Linked DNA regions of Caenorhabditis elegans. The protein of the gene in region 2 interacts with the protein of the main gene of each other region in a pairwise test. Each region holds a gene or a part of one and is shown on either strand. Other genes may lie near its edges. The genes, in order: unc-45, nmy-2 and itr-1.

What was found.
Region 1: the proteins of nmy-2 (region 2) and unc-45 interact in a two-hybrid assay, tested with the Caenorhabditis elegans proteins (one study listed by BioGRID).
Region 3: the proteins of nmy-2 (region 2) and itr-1 interact in a two-hybrid assay, tested with the Caenorhabditis elegans proteins (one study listed by BioGRID).

Annotation. Positions count from the first base shown.
Region 1 is NC_003281.10:489,504-495,018, forward strand, and holds the start of unc-45 (UNC-45/Cro1/She4 central domain-containing protein), read left to right. Parts: upstream 1-2,043; 5' UTR 2,044-2,045; coding exon 2,046-2,134; intron 2,135-2,185; coding exon 2,186-2,313; intron 2,314-2,359; coding exon 2,360-2,486; intron 2,487-2,903; exon of another isoform or gene 2,904-3,332; intron 3,333-4,065; coding exon 4,066-4,144; intron 4,145-4,213; coding exon 4,214-4,342; intron 4,343-4,851; coding exon 4,852-5,492; intron 5,493-5,515.
Region 2 is NC_003279.8:7,931,338-7,936,906, forward strand, and holds the start of nmy-2 (Myosin-11), read right to left. Parts: upstream 3,241-5,569; 5' UTR 3,207-3,240; coding exon 3,162-3,206; intron 3,111-3,161; coding exon 2,808-3,110; intron 2,362-2,807; coding exon 2,177-2,361; intron 2,126-2,176; coding exon 1,900-2,125; intron 1,853-1,899; coding exon 1,690-1,852; intron 1,645-1,689; coding exon 1-1,644. Other genes in the region: T22C1.1 (UBR-type domain-containing protein), read left to right, coding at 4,929-4,986, 5,129-5,569.
Region 3 is NC_003282.8:7,672,724-7,678,431, reverse strand, and holds the start of itr-1 (Inositol 1,4,5-trisphosphate receptor itr-1), read right to left. Parts: upstream 3,259-5,708; coding exon 3,180-3,258; intron 1,901-3,179; exon of another isoform or gene 1,751-1,900; intron 954-1,750; coding exon 851-953; intron 1-850. Other genes in the region: C08G9.2 (uncharacterized protein), read left to right, coding at 5,553-5,708. UniProt on the Caenorhabditis elegans protein: Receptor for inositol 1,4,5-trisphosphate, a second messenger that regulates intracellular calcium homeostasis.

The DNA.
Region 1 (5,515 bases), on a different chromosome or scaffold from region 2:
TTTTAACAAATTGAACGTGGCTGCAAAACCTTGTAAGATATGAATTCTCATTAGCTGAGAAATTAAAATCACAGGCTTTCGAGAAAAAATTGGCGGGAAATTCGAATTTCTATTTAAAAAGTTTACAATATGCTAAAAATCTAGACAAACTTTAACTTTTCATATAAATTTGGCGGGAAACTCGAATTTAAATTTTTTTTTTTCAAAATATTTAAACAATTTTTTTTTTCTATTTAGAAGTTCAAATATGAGTTATTTGAAATTTCTTTTTTCTAAAAATTTTGCACGAAATTCAAATTCATGGAGTTCGCTCTGGTTCAGTGGCTGGTCTTCTAATGAATTATGTTTGTTTTTTCGAACATCGAAAGGAAATAAGCGGGACTCATTTCATTGCTTCCTCCTTCATTGCTTCCTCCTTTTCTCCCTTTCGAATTGTACTACGAGACCCCCTTTGTGCATTATTATTTTACCCCCATTTTCCACCCCAAGACAGTCTCAAGTTATAGGAAATCTTCACATGATTTGCTCACAGTGCATGCACACAAAAAGTTATAAGATCTGAAGAGAGACGCAGACAGATTATTCAAACAGCAAGGGCTCCCACCACCGGAGAGGATCTGCGGATTCCGCCGTAATTTTACACTATCCGTCGGGGGCCGGACACTACTACACTGCCCTTTCCGCTGAACAGACGTTTCTATTCGTTTTTCATCGATTTTTGCATAAAGTTCGGGTTTAGTGGGTTTAGTAAACCTAAGAATTTCTAGGTTTTTTATGAATTTTAGGTCCTTTTTTTGAATTTATATAATTTATTTTAATGTAAATACTATGAAATTTTTATTTTGATTTTTTCCGAAAAAAAAATATCAAAAATTCCAGAAATATTTCAGCCGACCCATAGCCGCCGGGTATAGCACTAGAGCCTCACGGCAGTACATATTTATTTAGAAACTCTAGTATTCCACGTGAAAAAATATATTTAAATATACCAGAAATTTTGAAGGAGTTGACGACTACAGTACTCCTTAAAGGCACACGTTTTTCTGATTTCAAGAAAATTTATCGGTTCGTGCCGTAGTTTTTGAGAAATCCGAGTGCCGTAGTTTTTGAGAAAAAATTTTCCTTGTGGTTGCCCATATAATTATTTTCATGACGAAAATCTGAAACGATGTTTTATGGGTCTGCTAAATATTTATCATACCCAACTTTGGTCTGCTAAATATTTAGCATACCCAACTTTGGTCTGCTAAATATTTAGCATACCCAACTTTGGTCTGCTAAATATTTAGCAGACCCATTTGGGATATTGAGTTTATCCTGAAATGATGATTTCCTTTGTTTAAATCCACTCAAATTCCGTTTTTTCTCTGAAATCCTCTAATCCCCTGAAAAAAACCTAAAAATATATTTTTTTTACTATATAAATTCGGATTTTTCCAGAAACCCCACATATTTTCGACTTTTCCCGAACTTTTCCCACTCGTTATCTCTATTTCTCTTCTATTCCCTAGGATATCTCTCCCGCCTGGGAGCTTTTCGAAAGCTCCAGAGCACCTGGGCGGAGCTCCCGCGGCAACTGGATTTTTTACCGTTATTCTTCATTCATTTTTCCAGGACATTAACAAATTTTCTTGCAGTGAAAATTTTTATTTCAAAAAAAAAGAAAAGAAAGTCAATTTTAGGATGTTATACATCTCCAAAATTCGTTAGTTTTAGCTTTAAAATCAAAGTTTTCATAAAAATTAAATTTGAAATCCCTCCAAAAAATAGTCTGCGCTTCACACTCTCTAACACGTGCCGGTGGAGCGCGCTTGCATTTTTCCTTTTTTGTTAATTTTTTTTTGCGGGAAACTTTTCGGGAAAATTACTCTAAAACTCAATAAAAACAGCTTTTAAGTGCATTTTTCTTGAAAATTAGTTTCAAAAATGATATTTTAATCAGTTTTACACCATTTTTGTCGATTTTTCCTCTTTTATCCGTCGAATTAATAGTATCTCCTGACAAAAATAATGATTTTATAGTTTTTTTTTTTTGGTTTTCAGCAATGGTTGCTCGAGTACAGACTGCGGAGGAGATCCGCGACGAGGGAAATGCTGCAGTTAAGGATCAGGATTATATAAAAGCTGATGAATTGTTGGTTTTTCTGAAATTTCAGTGGAAAACTGAAATTAAACTGATTTCCAGATACACTGAAGCTCTCCAACTCACCACTGACGAAGACAAGGCTCTTCGGCCGGTTTTGTACAGAAATCGAGCAATGGCTCGGCTGAAAAGAGACGATTTTGAAGGAGCACAATCGGATTGCACGAAAGGTTTACAAAAAACCTGGAAAATTTGCTGAAAAACCTAAATTTACAGCTCTGGAATTCGACGGGGCCGATGTAAAAGCTCTCTTCAGACGATCGCTGGCTCGTGAACAGCTTGGAAATGTTGGGCCAGCTTTTCAAGACGCAAAAGAGGCTCTGAGGCTCTCGCCAAATGATAAGTGCGTGGAAAAACTAGGCGAAAACCGATGAAAATTAAAAGAAAAATAATTTTTTCTGGCACTTTCCAGTTATATTTCAAAGTTTTTATGACCAAATTTCAGTGAAAAATGCAAAAGTTGCAAATTTTGGGTCTGCTAAATATTTAGCAGACCCAACCTCCCGAAACTGATTTTTAAAGCTAAAAATTATTAGAATTTTCAGACGTTTCTCTCCGAAATATAGCATGCCAATAGAAAAATTGACAAAAATCAAGGTTTTCTCATCGAAAATAGCAAAATAACTTTTAAAAATCTACAGAAACTCACAATTTTTGTTTAAAATGCCAACATTTATAAATTTTCTAAATATTTAGTTTTAAATTTGTAATTTTCTCACTTTTTTCTGTGAAAAAATATGCAAAATGAAACTGAAAAATCCACTAAAACATGTTTAAAAATTTATCTTGAAGAAAAACGTAGGAAATTTCAAATTTGCAGCTAAAAAATCAGCGAAAAAATTTTTTTTTCAAAATTTGAGGAGGTTGGGTATGCTAAATATTTAGCAGACCCAAGGAAAAATATTTAGCAGACCAAAGATAGGTATGCTAAATACTTAGCAGACCAAAGATAGGTATGCTAAATATTTAGCAGACCAAAGAAGGGTATGCTAAATATTTAGCAGACCCAAGGTGGGTATGCTAAATATTTAGCAGACCCAAGGAAAAATATTTAGCAGACCAAAGATAGGTATGCTAAATATTTAGCAGACCAAAGATGGATATGCTAAATATTTAGCAGACCAAAGATGGGTATGCTAAATAATTAGCAGACCAAAGATGGGTATGCTAAATAATTAGCAGACCCAAAGAAAAATATTTAGCAGACCAAAGTTGGGTATGCTAAATAATTAGCAGACCAAAGTTGGGTATGCTAAATATTTAGCAGACCAAAGTTGGGTATGCTAAATATTTAGCAGACCAAAGATGGGTATGCTAAATAATTAGCAGACCAAAGTTGGGTATGCTAAATATTTAGCAGACCCAAGGAAAAATATTTAGCAGACCAAAGATGGGTATGCTAAATATTTAGCAGACCCAAGGAAAAATATTTAGCAGACCAAAGATAGGTATGCTAAACATTTAGCAGACCCAAGGAAAAATATTTAGCAGACCAAAGATAGGTATGCTAAATATTTAGCAGACCAAAGATGGATATGCTAAATATTTAGCAGACCAAAGATGGGTATGCTAAATAATTAGCAGACCCAAAGAAAAATATTTAGCAGACCAAAGATAGGTATGCTAAATATTTAGCAGACCAAAGATGGATATGCTAAATATTTAGCAGACCAAAGATGGGTATGCTAAATAATTAGCAGACCAAAGTTGGGTATGCTAAATATTTAGCAGACCCAAAGAAAAATATTTAGCAGACCAAAGATAGGTATGCTAAATATTTAGCAGACCAAAGATGGGTATGCTAAATATTTAGCAGACCAAAGTTGGGTATGCTAAATATTTAGCAGACCCAAGATTTTCTCACAATTCCACTTTTAAGCACTTAAAAATTCAATAATTTCACTCAAATTTCTATTTTTCAGAGGAATTGTTGAAGTTCTTCAGCGTCTCGTAAAAGCCAACAATGATAAGATTAAGCAGACCACTTCACTGGCTAATAAGGTTGGTTTTGTGACCTGAAACCACGAATTTTAAATGAATTTTCATTGAAAAACCCCGAAATTTTCTCAGGTAACTGACATGGAAAAGCTAGCGTTCCGTGGTGAGGCGAAGGACACCGAACAGAAAATGACTGCGTTGAACAACTTGTTGGTTTTGTGCAGAGAATCTGAATCCGGAGCAACAGGAGTTTGGAATCAGGTATAGTTTTGGAAGCTGGACGAAAAATCTACATTTACTGGGAAAATTTAATGGAACTTAAAAAAAAATTTAAAAAATGGAAATAAATTGAAAAATATACCGTATATTTGAAAAAAAAATGCAAAAAAAAACTGAATTTTCTAGATTTTCAGAGCAATTTTCAGATTGTTTTTCGAAAAATTTTGCAGTTTTTATCTAAATTTTTCCGATATTCCTTAAATTTAATTGTCGAAAGTTCAATTTTAATTTTTTTAAAGAAATTTTTTTAAACTGAAAATTGTAATTTTTTGTAGATTTTTAAAATTTATTTTGCTACAACGAGAAAACCTTAATTTTTGCCAATTTTCCGATTTTGTAGAAACATTTGAAAATTCAACTTTTTAGCTTTTAAAAAATCAGTTTAAAAAAAATTATTTTTCAAAATTTTAATTTTATCAAAGTATCCCGAATTTGAATATTTTCCTGCAAAAATACCCAAAAAAAAAATTCTAATTTTTCCATATTTCCAGGGCGCACTTGTTCCATTCGTCCTGAACCTAATCAACGACGCATCGGAAAACGAGGAGGTTACCGTAACCGCAATCCGAATTCTCGACGAGACCATCAAAAATAGCGTCAGATGCATGAAATTCCTAGCTATGCACGACCCAGATGGCCCAAAATCCGTCCGTTTTGTGTGCCGGCTAATGTGCAAAAAATCCACAAAAGACTTTGTGGATGCCACTGGAATTCTGGTGCAACGTGTCTTCAATGCAATGGCTAAAATGGATCGGCAAAAGGAGATGAAGCCGGATCCAGAGGTGGCAGAAGCCAATAAAATCTGGATAATTCGTGTGCTCTTGGAGCTTCAAGAGATGCTTCAGGACCCGAAAGTTGGTGCAGTTCAGCGTGAGACGTGCATCGATTTATTCCTGAAAAATCTGATGCACATGGACGGTGGAATTCCACGTGGATGGTCGTGGAAGTTTGTGGAAGAACGTGGATTGCTCGCGTTGCTTGACGTGGCAAGTCAGATACCCGAACTGTGTGAATATCCGGTTTCTGCGGAGACTCGGCAACACGTGGCAATTTGTTTGCAGAGATTAGAGGAGGATATGGTTTTTGATACGAAACGGACTATTTTTAAGGAGAAAGTCGATATGTTCTTTAAGTACGGAACAAGGAAATCGGAAA
Region 2 (5,569 bases):
CGAGAAGTGGCTTCACTTTGGTCAGAAGTCTCCACCATTGCCATTCACGCAGTCTCATCCATGCCAAACCATTTCTTTGAAGAATTTTGATAGCAACTTCTTGTTCTCGTCTGCGTACCATCACTCGGCGTCCTAGCCATCCACGACATTGAGCTTGGAAAGATTCAATAAGAGCGGAAAGCTTCTGATCACGCATCTCCTCAAACTCAGCTATAACTCCAGAACGGAAGAAGATCTTAGATTGACCAATACGGAAGAGGTTGGCGTCAACTTCCAGATATTGAACAATACGATAAACGGCGTTTTTACCGTCCATGAATCCAGCTGGGTTGACATCAGGGGCAAGAAGTTTCTCGTAGCGTTGACGGAATTCTTGGAACGGGAGCCGCGTAGGGAATCCTTGACGGCATATACGAATTCCTTCCAACACTCCGTTGCATCTTAATTGATCAAGAACAAGATGAGCGTTGAGAACTCCATGTTTCTTTTCGTGATTTGGAATGATGCAGCGAACAAAGTGAGGATTGGTGTTATTGAGAGTACTCATAAGACGAGCCAATTGTTCTTTGTAAAGTTGAGAAACAGTACGGAACATTCCCTTCTTTGGAACACGAGATCCAAATACTCCGGTATCTGAAGTACTGTCAGCAGCTGACAAACTGCAAACATCAGCGATATCTTTCCACATGTCGACAATAAGAGATTCCTTTGAAGTTTTGAGCACATCAATCACATTCTCATTCAATGGATCCATGTTTTTCACGCGCCAACCTTCAGATTGATAGTCGACTCGGCCCGCATAATGAACAACGGCAAAATCGCTTCGTGAGCGAATCTCTGGAACGACGTACTTCGGATGTTGAGAATGAGTGTTATTGAGGCGTTGAACAAATGATTGATCATTTCCTTGTGGGAATAGACAAACATCATCAAGAGTTGACATGATTCCCATAGGCTTATCAATCAAGTCAATAGTCGGTTGAAGATTGAGGCCGAAATCCAAGAACTTCCACTCCAATCCTTCATCAAGATATTCTTGCTGTTCACGAACGAACATTGTATTGTTGAAGAGTTGTTGAAGTTTCTCGTTAGTGTAGTTGATACATAGCTGCTCGAATGAGTTTGTTTCAAAAATTTCAAAACCAGCAATATCAAGAATTCCGATAAAGCTGACAGATTGTTGACGGGTCCGATCGAGAGATTTGTTGAGGCGATGAACCAACCATCTGAAGAGTCGCTCATACGAGGCCTTCGCAATGGCTCCCACAGAGAAATTGACTTGGTCTACGCTTTGAGCTCGATGGACCAAATCCCTTTGAACCTTGATTTTTGGCTTCAAGAATGCACGCATCAATTCGGTAACATTGACTCCGAGAAGTGAAGCGATTTTTTGAGCAACAGCGTCATTGAGCAGAACAGCCTGATCGTTATTCTTGTTTTCGTGAGAAAATTCAAGATTTCCAAAGAGCATAACTGCCGAGACAACTCTAAGTATTCCTCCAATCTCTTCGTCGTTCAATCCCATAATTGACATGGCATTCAGTGTTTCCTTCATCTCTGCTCCATCATCAACTCCAGCCAATTTACTGTCACCATTTGAGACAAACTTGTACTTGGATAGGCTGTCTTCTAGGAGATAATGTTCTGAAAATAAACGAGTTACGGTATTGTAGAAACATTTAATCTCACCTCTCTGTACTTTTGAGAGTCCTTTCAGCAACTGGTAGAAAATGTGGAACGATCGCTCATTGGGAGCTTGTTTCAGCACGCGAGATTTCTCCAGAAGATAAAATTCAATATTCGCTCCAGAAATGCACCCTGTGCTGTCGAAATGAACGCGAATGAACTTTCCCTAAAAAATTTAACGATGCGTGCATTTAAAAAGTTATGATCACTCACAAATCTACTGGAATTATCGTTCTTCACTGTCTTACTGTTTCCGAAAGCCTCGAGTATGGGATTTGCTTGCAAAAGCTGTTCCTCAAGCTGGCCCATGATCCGGTTTGTAGATGTGTCCAGATCAACGGAAGTCTTCCGATTCTTCACCATCGACCGATTTGCCACATAAGCCAAATACTGAATCACTTTCTTTGTATTTTCAGTCTTTCCAGCTCCCGATTCTCCACTGAAAAAAACAACACATTTCAGGATAATATAAACTCGTATATTAACTAACGTGCAGAGAATTGACTGATCATCTCGTTCTTGAAGCATGCTGCGGTAGGCTTCATCGGCAACAGCAAATATGTGTGGTGGCATCTCCTTTCTCTTTTTGCATTTGAACTGTTCAGCAATTGTATCCGTGTAGATTGGAATTCGTTTGTATGGATTTATTACAACGCAGAACAAGCCAGAGTATGTCTGAAAATAATTCGATTGATATTTATATAAATGTATAAGTTTTTGCCTTAAATAAATATTTGAAATGTTGCAAAGGTCATCAGGATCTCTTGATTATTAAAAACCAACGACCGGTTGAGACGTTCTGCATATTTTATATCTCACCTGATAAAAAGATTATCAAACTACAGAAATAACTGTATTCCTTCTTAGAGATAAAGGTCACAGCAAGGTTCAATATAGGAAAATCTCCGGGAATGGCAGAAGCCGGTCCATTTACAAAATTTCTACTTTGAAACTTATTCTATAATTTGAGCTGGTTCCTCTGAGTTAGGGGGTTAAATCGCCACAAAGAATTGCTACGAAAGAAACCGCATCTTAGGCTTATGTAAACGCCAAAAGACGACAACCAGCTTGACGAGAATATTTATATTCAATGAAGAATTGTTAGCTATCGACAAACTTACGTAGTAGAGATTCGAGAAATATCGTTGCTTTAGATTATGAAGAACCGACGCTTCATTCAGACACGTCAGCATTGACATATCCTCGCATTTGTCATATTTCGGAGGATTTGGCTTCTGGCAATCATCAGACGAAACACGCTGCCGTTCGCCAGTCTCCATAAGCTCAATGTCGATAGTTCCGTCTGCATGTGGTTCCCCGATGACAGCTCCAAGTGCGAATCCATCCTTCTCACTGGGTACCCACATCAACTTTTTTTTCGCCCAATCTGCCGAAATCGATGGATTGAGGAAGTCTGTCTTGGCCTGAAAATTAGAAATAAAGCTATAACTATAAAAATATTTGAAGAAACATACTCTCAATTGGTCAATCTCATCATCTTTTTGTCGAGATGATGTCATTATTACCGCTGGAGCTGTTGTTGTAATCAATTAGCTGAAAAGTTAAATGGAATAAAAGGCGGGTAATCTGCTTGTCCCATCTGACCTGACCTCTGGTAACTGTGGCAAAACGCGTTTTTGATACACGACGTCCCGAAAATATTTTCAACATAAAATTTTTTAGACGTCAAATTTTCAAATCCACTTGTTGCTACGGCTACAGAGTTCTACAAATTTAGGGACACGCTGTTTGATAAAATAAGTATGTGGTAAGAAGAAAAACAATAAGGTCATGGCATTCACGCGAAGAAAAATGAGTCGTGGAAGCTAGTTCTCAAAAACGGGTTTGATAATATGCATAGGCTCAGGTGTCAGCATTATCCCTCAAAAAAGGAAAGAGAAAAGTATTTCAGGAAAGGCATTCCATAAGACTATTCAAAAACGTTACGCAATTAAATTCGTAATTCGATTATGAACACGAATTCGCAGTGCGATTCACCAAGGTTGACTATTGGAAACAGTAAAATGAAACGAAAAAAGTGAGCACAAAGATTGAGAATAGGGTTCACACACCATCGAAATTTCGATTTCCGCCCACATCAATTATCAGCGTCAACAGATAAAGCAACATACCTCTTGTTTTTGCCCAGCCTACGCTTTTATTGATTATTTTTAAAACTAGTTTAAAGAAAGGGTCAATTTCTCAGAGGCCACGATGGCACGCGACTTATAATTCAAAAGTGAAATAAAACAATCTTTTTCTCAAAAATCTGTTAGTGAGAAGCCTTTCGTATATCAAATACTTCCCACAAAAGGACGATAATGGAAGCGCAGCTGTGCCGATTTTCCAGCTGTCTTCCCTCTACCGCTGACCCTCTTTTTTAACTGGCGTTCTCCATTCCGCCATTGCATTGATAATACGATGGGAAGCGCTAGTTCCGTGGGAACCATCCACTTTTGGTAATGTACGAACCGTTCGGTGAATTTCGCAATATTTTGGTGTGAGGTAAAGGAAGATGCGCCGAGGGAAACAAGGGTCAAAACGAAATGCAAACGAATACCCATTCAGGCCAAGCGTGCGCGCCGAGAATGAAGAATAAACGGACGGGATAGGACACGAATTGGCTCTCTCAACTTGTCACAAGTTACCGACATGAATGGTGATTCAGAAAACAGAACAGGAATCTTTTCGTGGTGACGCCGCGGCATTTGTATTGGGTTTGGCGCCAAAAATAGTAGAAATGGTGCGCGAGGATGATTTGAAACTGGCGCCCTCGGCTGTCGCGAGACCCGAAGAACTCGGGGGATGTTCAACTGGGGGGATTACCAACTCGGGGGATTGGCCCCGCCCACAGAACCGTGGCTTGCAATACGCCCATTTCTGCAAATGCCGCACGGTTTTAAAATCATTTTTTCTTGTTAATCCTCGCTCTATTGATAAAAATACAGTTTTAAAACCGTGCGGCAGTTGCAGAAATGGGCGTATTGCAAGCCACGGTTCTGTGGGCGGGGCCAATCCCCCGAGTTGGTAATCCCCCCAGTTGGACATCCCCCGAGTTCTTCGGGTCTCGCTGTCGCTGGACACAGTCTGCATTTTTACGTGAGGGTGCACCAAACATATTTGAATTGTACACCATTACGCCACCTTGCGGCCGTAAGAACTCGTGCTTTAATATTGAAGCCTCAATTAATTTTCCTGCATTCAACGAAAAAAATAACTCACTTTTTTTTCAAATTTCAGATATGGACGATAAAAAGGAAGAAACACCATCGATTGCTCCTGTTCTTTGTGGAGAAGAAGGTAGATTGAGTAAATAAAATGCTGAACATCGTTCGAAAAAAAGATTTGCTTTAAAGCCAGAACTGAGTCAATAATATAAATTTGATTTATTTTAATAAAAATAAATGAATAATTATTTAAACATTGCATTTTTTTCTTTCAGAGGAGGCAGTCACCCTTGGTGAAATCGTGGAAACCATCGATTATTTGGAAGACAAAGCCGATGTATTGTTCGCAACCCAAAATCCAAACGTTTGCACTTATGCAGAAGGCTACAAACCTCGTCAAACATTATTCACATGTCTCACATGCACACCTGCTCCAGAGATGGCTGGAGTTTGTTATGGATGCGCTTTAAATTGCCACGACGGGCACATCATTGTAGAATTGTACACAAAAAGAAAGTTCAAGTGCGATTGTGGAAATTCAAAATTCGGCGAGAAGAAATGTGCTCTCTATGAGGATAAAGATGCGAAAAACGAGTATAATATGTACAATCATAACTACAACGGGAAATTCTGCACTTGTGACGTTTTCTATCCCGATGAAGACGGTGGAAAAGAGCTCCTACAGTGTGAAATTTGCGAAGATTGGTTTCACGAAG
Region 3 (5,708 bases), on a different chromosome or scaffold from region 2:
TCTGGAAAAAAGGAGTATGGGAACACAAATTGCGATAAGTACTTCATCAGAAAATTTACGTAAAATTTAAAATTTAAAATAAATTTTAAAATTTATAGGGATTTTTTTATTTAGAGGTGGTTATCAAATTGTGCGACTGCACCAAAAAATAATTTTGAACGCCATAAAATTTTCCGAGATTTCTCGTTGTGATTTTCAGTATTTTGAGAAAATCTTGAGTCTATTCAAGCAACAACTCAAAACTGTTACTTCCCCTTCAAAAGAGATACACCTTGGAATCTGGATATGCCAGGATTTACTATAAATCGGTTATAAGAATACGTATCATTAACTTTAGATTTAAATCAAATTCATCAGGTTCACATGCATTTTTATTATTCAAAATTGATACATATTACTTCAACATTTAATTGGAAGTTAGTATTGCTTGCAATAGTTCACTGATTTATTCGAATCTCCAAGTTAATTCAAAAATAGAAGCACATATGATTTGAGAAAAAAAATAACTCGAGAATAGTTTACCAAAATTTTTTCCAATCAAAAATACCTCAAATAAATGATCATTACACCCTTTTTATATCGGCGACCTTGTACTTTTTTCCAAAGTGATACCGATACCAGGAGACCATCTCGATATACAAAGTACTTGAGAATGAGCAGCGTTTCTTCTTTTTCAAACAAATTTGAAAAGGCTCTTTTTTCTTGTTGATACAGGAATATTCTCGCCATTCACGTTGTTTTTTCAATTGTTTTTTTTTTGATAACAGTAAAACAGGATTTGTAACAAAACAGCCAAATGACACTCAATTTATTCTTCGAATAATACGATTTTTCAAGAATACAAACTAACCTGGATTTCCTCATAATTTGTTCCTCAAAATCATCAAAATCAAATTCAATTCGTGTGCTTCCACCACCACTAGCACCTCCACTGGCCGTCGTTTCGTTTTCGTCTGAAAATTGTGCAAAACTAAACATTTTCTCATTTTCTTGTCATTTTTTAGACAATTTCTTCACATCGGATGATCGACGGCACGGTACGCTCAAAGCAAAAGGACTATAAAAGTTTAACGATCTGTGTCACTTCTACACCACACTCTTTTACACAAATCACATTTGACACGGTTTTTAATTTTTTTAAGGAAGTTGTTTTTAATTTTGAAATAAGGAGTGATAGGTTAGTTAGCGTGTAAATTTTCAGAAACATGCAAGGATTTGAACTCAAAAAAGCTATTTAAAAAAACAAAAAAAACCATGAAGTGACAACTAAACATCTAAAACATTTTGGTTTTATGAGCGAGAAGCTGAAGACGATTATGCAACGAATCACAGCTGTGAAGCACGTTGTTTTATGAGCAAAATGTTGGAAAAAAGGAAAGCAAAAAACTGAATAGAAACGGCAATATAAAAACATATACACGGAACGGGAATATGTTTTATTTAAAAGTTGGTTGGCAACTTGCTCATGCTTTTTAATACTCAGTTAAATGAAAAGTATCGCCAGTGAGGAAGTTGTTTCAAATCAGCCCAATAATATTGAAATTACCGGATATCTTATAGTTAGCAGAGCTTTGTAAAAAATTATCAAAGTTTTTTACTTACAGTGAAACAGTGACAATTACTTAATTTTTTCACCTATTTTGGAAGTCGGCAATTGTTAACAATTTTTATAAAATTTTGAATTTCATGAAAATTGAAATTATTTTTATTCAAATATTCTAGAGGTTCACATCTGTAGCAATGCTCGAAATTACTCAAAAAGTCCAAACTTTCTGAAAAATCTACAATTTACAAAATTTCACCAAATCAAAAATTGTGGAGTGTTTTATTATGATTGTCGATTTCGGTATTTTCCTAAATTTTTCACAACCTGTTAAGGCGTTTATACCAAATAATTTTCAAGTTAATTATCATTTCCTTCATGCATTGTCTCTGGATCATTCCTCTTTTGAATTAAAATGGCAAATAATGATCATCTAGCTTTTGATAATGAACATATTAATCGTACTAGATCTTTCATCAAATAATTCAGTCACAAACCAGAACGATCAAACTCTCTAGCCTTTTTAATCGAATTTGGAATTTACAGTTCAGAGATTGAAGTTGTGTAAAGAGAAATAGAGAGAAAAAGAAATTGATCAGGTCGACAATTTGATGAACGATTCGATGACGTCTAATGTTAGAAATCAACGATACAAACTATTCGACAAAAAGATGAAGACGACAATAAATATAATGATATTCGTGTTCGAACATCAATCATTTTCGATTAGTTACGATGCCAACGAGACAACAAAAAAACATCTGTAAGTTCATTTTGTAAAATAATACGAACAGATGTGTGGAAAGAGGAAAGAGAAACAGAAATTTATGCATATCGTTTACCAGGAAAATATTAGAGAAAGAGACACAACAATCGGTATATATTTTGTTTGTTGAAACATTCATGAAATAGATGTATATGCCTCACATACATCAATAGACAACCAAGACGGTACGTAAGCCGCTTACAGGTGCCCCTTTTCTTTTGAAAGACAAGAAAAAATAGAGACCTCCGGGAACAAAAATGTGTTTTAAAGTGTTTTGCTGGTTGATGTCCCATATGATTGTATTTGTCTATTGTTTTATCGATATGCTCTAACGGTGAGTCAATAAATGCACTTTTTCTAGAAGAATTGAAAAAAAGTGTTTTTTTTTTAAATATTTTTAATTCAAAACTCTTTCATCATAGTCAAAATCAAAACCGGTTCTCAAAAGTTTGGCTTTATATTCAAATCTACTTTATGGACCAACTTTTAACACGAACAATAACAAAACATATCCTGTGAAATGGCGCCCGGTAATTTTAACTTCCATTTTACACATTTTGGTGGTTTTATTAAGTGTTTCTTGTTGGTTTTTTTTCTGGGGCGTTGGCCAAATAAGTTAGGCTCAATTTGAGACTATTTAGACGTTGGTTTTGAATTTTGAGAACAATAAATATAGTTCGCTACTCAACCTTTAAGGTTAAAAAGAAACATTGAAACTGAGAAAGTTCTGAGTTTCCTGTACATTTTTCAGTGATTTCATCAATGCTAACCGTATCAATTAGATTTAAGTTTATCGGTGAAAATTTGAAAAAAAATAAGATCGTTAATTGAAGCAGATTTTAGAAGTTTTTTTTTAATGTAAAAACTTACATTCATAATGCTCGGGAACGAACTCTGGAATAGATATAATGGATACTTTCTTACGAACCCGGCCATATGATGGATTCATTCTGGAATACTTTTTATGAAAAATGGAAAATAAGAAGCACAAAATCAATAAAAGTTTAAAAAAGAAATTGTAAAGCAAAATCGTATTAAAAATATAGTGACTCTCCAAAAAAGAACGGAGGAAACGTGTCACAAAAGGAGAAAAAGAGGAAACGTTTCTGAATTGAAAAGATTTGATGTTAACGTCTTGGACGGTCTCATGGTTCAGAGAGTTTTCAACAACAAATTTCTATTGGAAATTCTTTCATTTCATCTCCATTTTTCTTGTTTACTTTTTTGCAGGTAAACCCGCGCAAATAGTTGAAGTTGACACAATGTCAAAATGAGCGCGAATACCAATTAAGAAAGGTCAGATCGTTGGCATCGGTAGACAGACAACAATGAAAAAAATAGATTCCAGATGCGTTTGATTTGAAGATAGGAGGAAAGGAACAAAAGATGGTGGGCAACGGGAACCAAGTCACACTTATCAAATTAAAGGAATTAATGGGAATTCAAATGTATTAGCTGCAGTAGTCAATAACATCGAGATTTACAAGAAAATTATCTTTGAACAAATACGATACACAACGCTGAAACGGTGTGATACATAGCATGCAGCAATTGCCGTTCGGTAATCGACTTTTCGACGATTTCGGCAATCGCTGAAATTGTCGATTACAGGAAATCAGAATTGCCGAAAATATAAATGTGATATTTTTTGTAGATTTAGGAGCCCAAACATGAATTTTAATGAACAATGTTCTCTCTTTTCAAGCTCAAAATGATTTAATACTTGAAGGGTTGCCCGTTTTCTTTTAGAGAATGACTAACCTAATACAATAATTTTTGAGACATTTTCAAGTTGTCTCAATAGGTATTTAGGATCAATTTTGATTCTAAAAACAATCACCCAAATTTTGCTACTCCATCTTTAAGTGGAAAAATGAAGTAATATCGTTCCTGTTTTTCCATTTTAGTTTCGAAAATGATACAAGTTCAATTTCAAAAGTTGAAATATTCAGTTACTTTTTATAAATCTCATGTCTCTTTCATATCCCGCTAGTAATTCAATTCATATGAGCAGTCGACTACCATTTTGGAAGATAAACAATACAAATACGGGTTGCGAGAGACGAAGAGATCTCCAAGTGACACTTATACCGAAATGAGCGAAAGAGTTAGCGAATACATTTGTTTTGCGTACTATTAGCAGAGCTTTGAAACAGGGCGCAGCCTAAATTTGGGAGAGAAAGAAGATTTGTACGATTACGGAATAGAATATCCTACAGTAGAAAGTTAAAAAACATTACAAAATGAAATGTGCTTCATTAGGACAAAACAATATATTTTATTGTAAAACTAGTGGAAAAGAAAAAAAAAAAAGAAATGAAGAAGTAGTATTGGACTCCAAAAATATGATGTTTGATACTTTTCTGAAATGTGATAGTTTTGGAAATTAATGCGCGGATTTTTCTGAGCATTTTCTGAATCCATCGACTTTTTTAAAACTACATACCACATCTCATCTATTAATTTTAAATTTAATTTTTGCGGAAATTCCCACAGAGTATAGCCGGTCTGTCGGAAAATCAGTGCATGACAAACTAGAAGCTACAAAACTAATAAGGGAAATACGGGTTGTTTCAAACTAAATGCTTATGTTCGAATTGCAATATTTCATTCTGACTACCTTATTAATTTTCCCTTATTTTCCTGTTTTCAGAGCTCATATACATAAAGTTCACTTAAAAACCAGAACTAAAAAATCACGTACCGTTTTTGAAATTGACACACAATGTAATTTCACAGTTGGACGGAGCAGAAATCAAGGTTAGAAACATTTTCACAGTCTGTACTAGTTTTGCATTATATTTTCCTGTAATATTTTGATTTTCAAAAATCCAAAACCAAGATCCCTTTCGTACATCCCGTGATTGATTAAACAACAATGAGATTTCGAAAAGTCAGCATTTCTGCTCGAAAATCGTGTATCAAATCACCTTTGACCCTGTAGCTCATCATATCTAAACATTTTACAATCTTTTGATTCTTCATTCACATAAATCCAGTGGACCTCTTCCGTATTACATCAACTTCCTCGTAATATTTACAAATCTGTCGGAAGACAGTTTCGCACCTCACACCGCAAAAGTGGGCGGCGTGTCCGTGGCGGTGGTGGCCGGGGGTTGCAATGTGTCCACTCAACAGAAGTAACCTGTCTCTTTTCCCTCAATCCACCTGTCATCTTTTACTATCCTAAATTGACCATCACATCTTTTATTCTTATCACTTCCGGATGTCAAATGAGCAATTATGTGGTTACTGTATCTTTTAATTCTGAAACCATTTTTGTCGTCTTCTATAGACCTTTTACCGGCAAGTGTACCAAATGTATGTCCTTTCCGTCCAACCAGTTGTAATTTATTATGCCCTTTTGGATATTTGAAAGATATTCTTCAACAATGTATC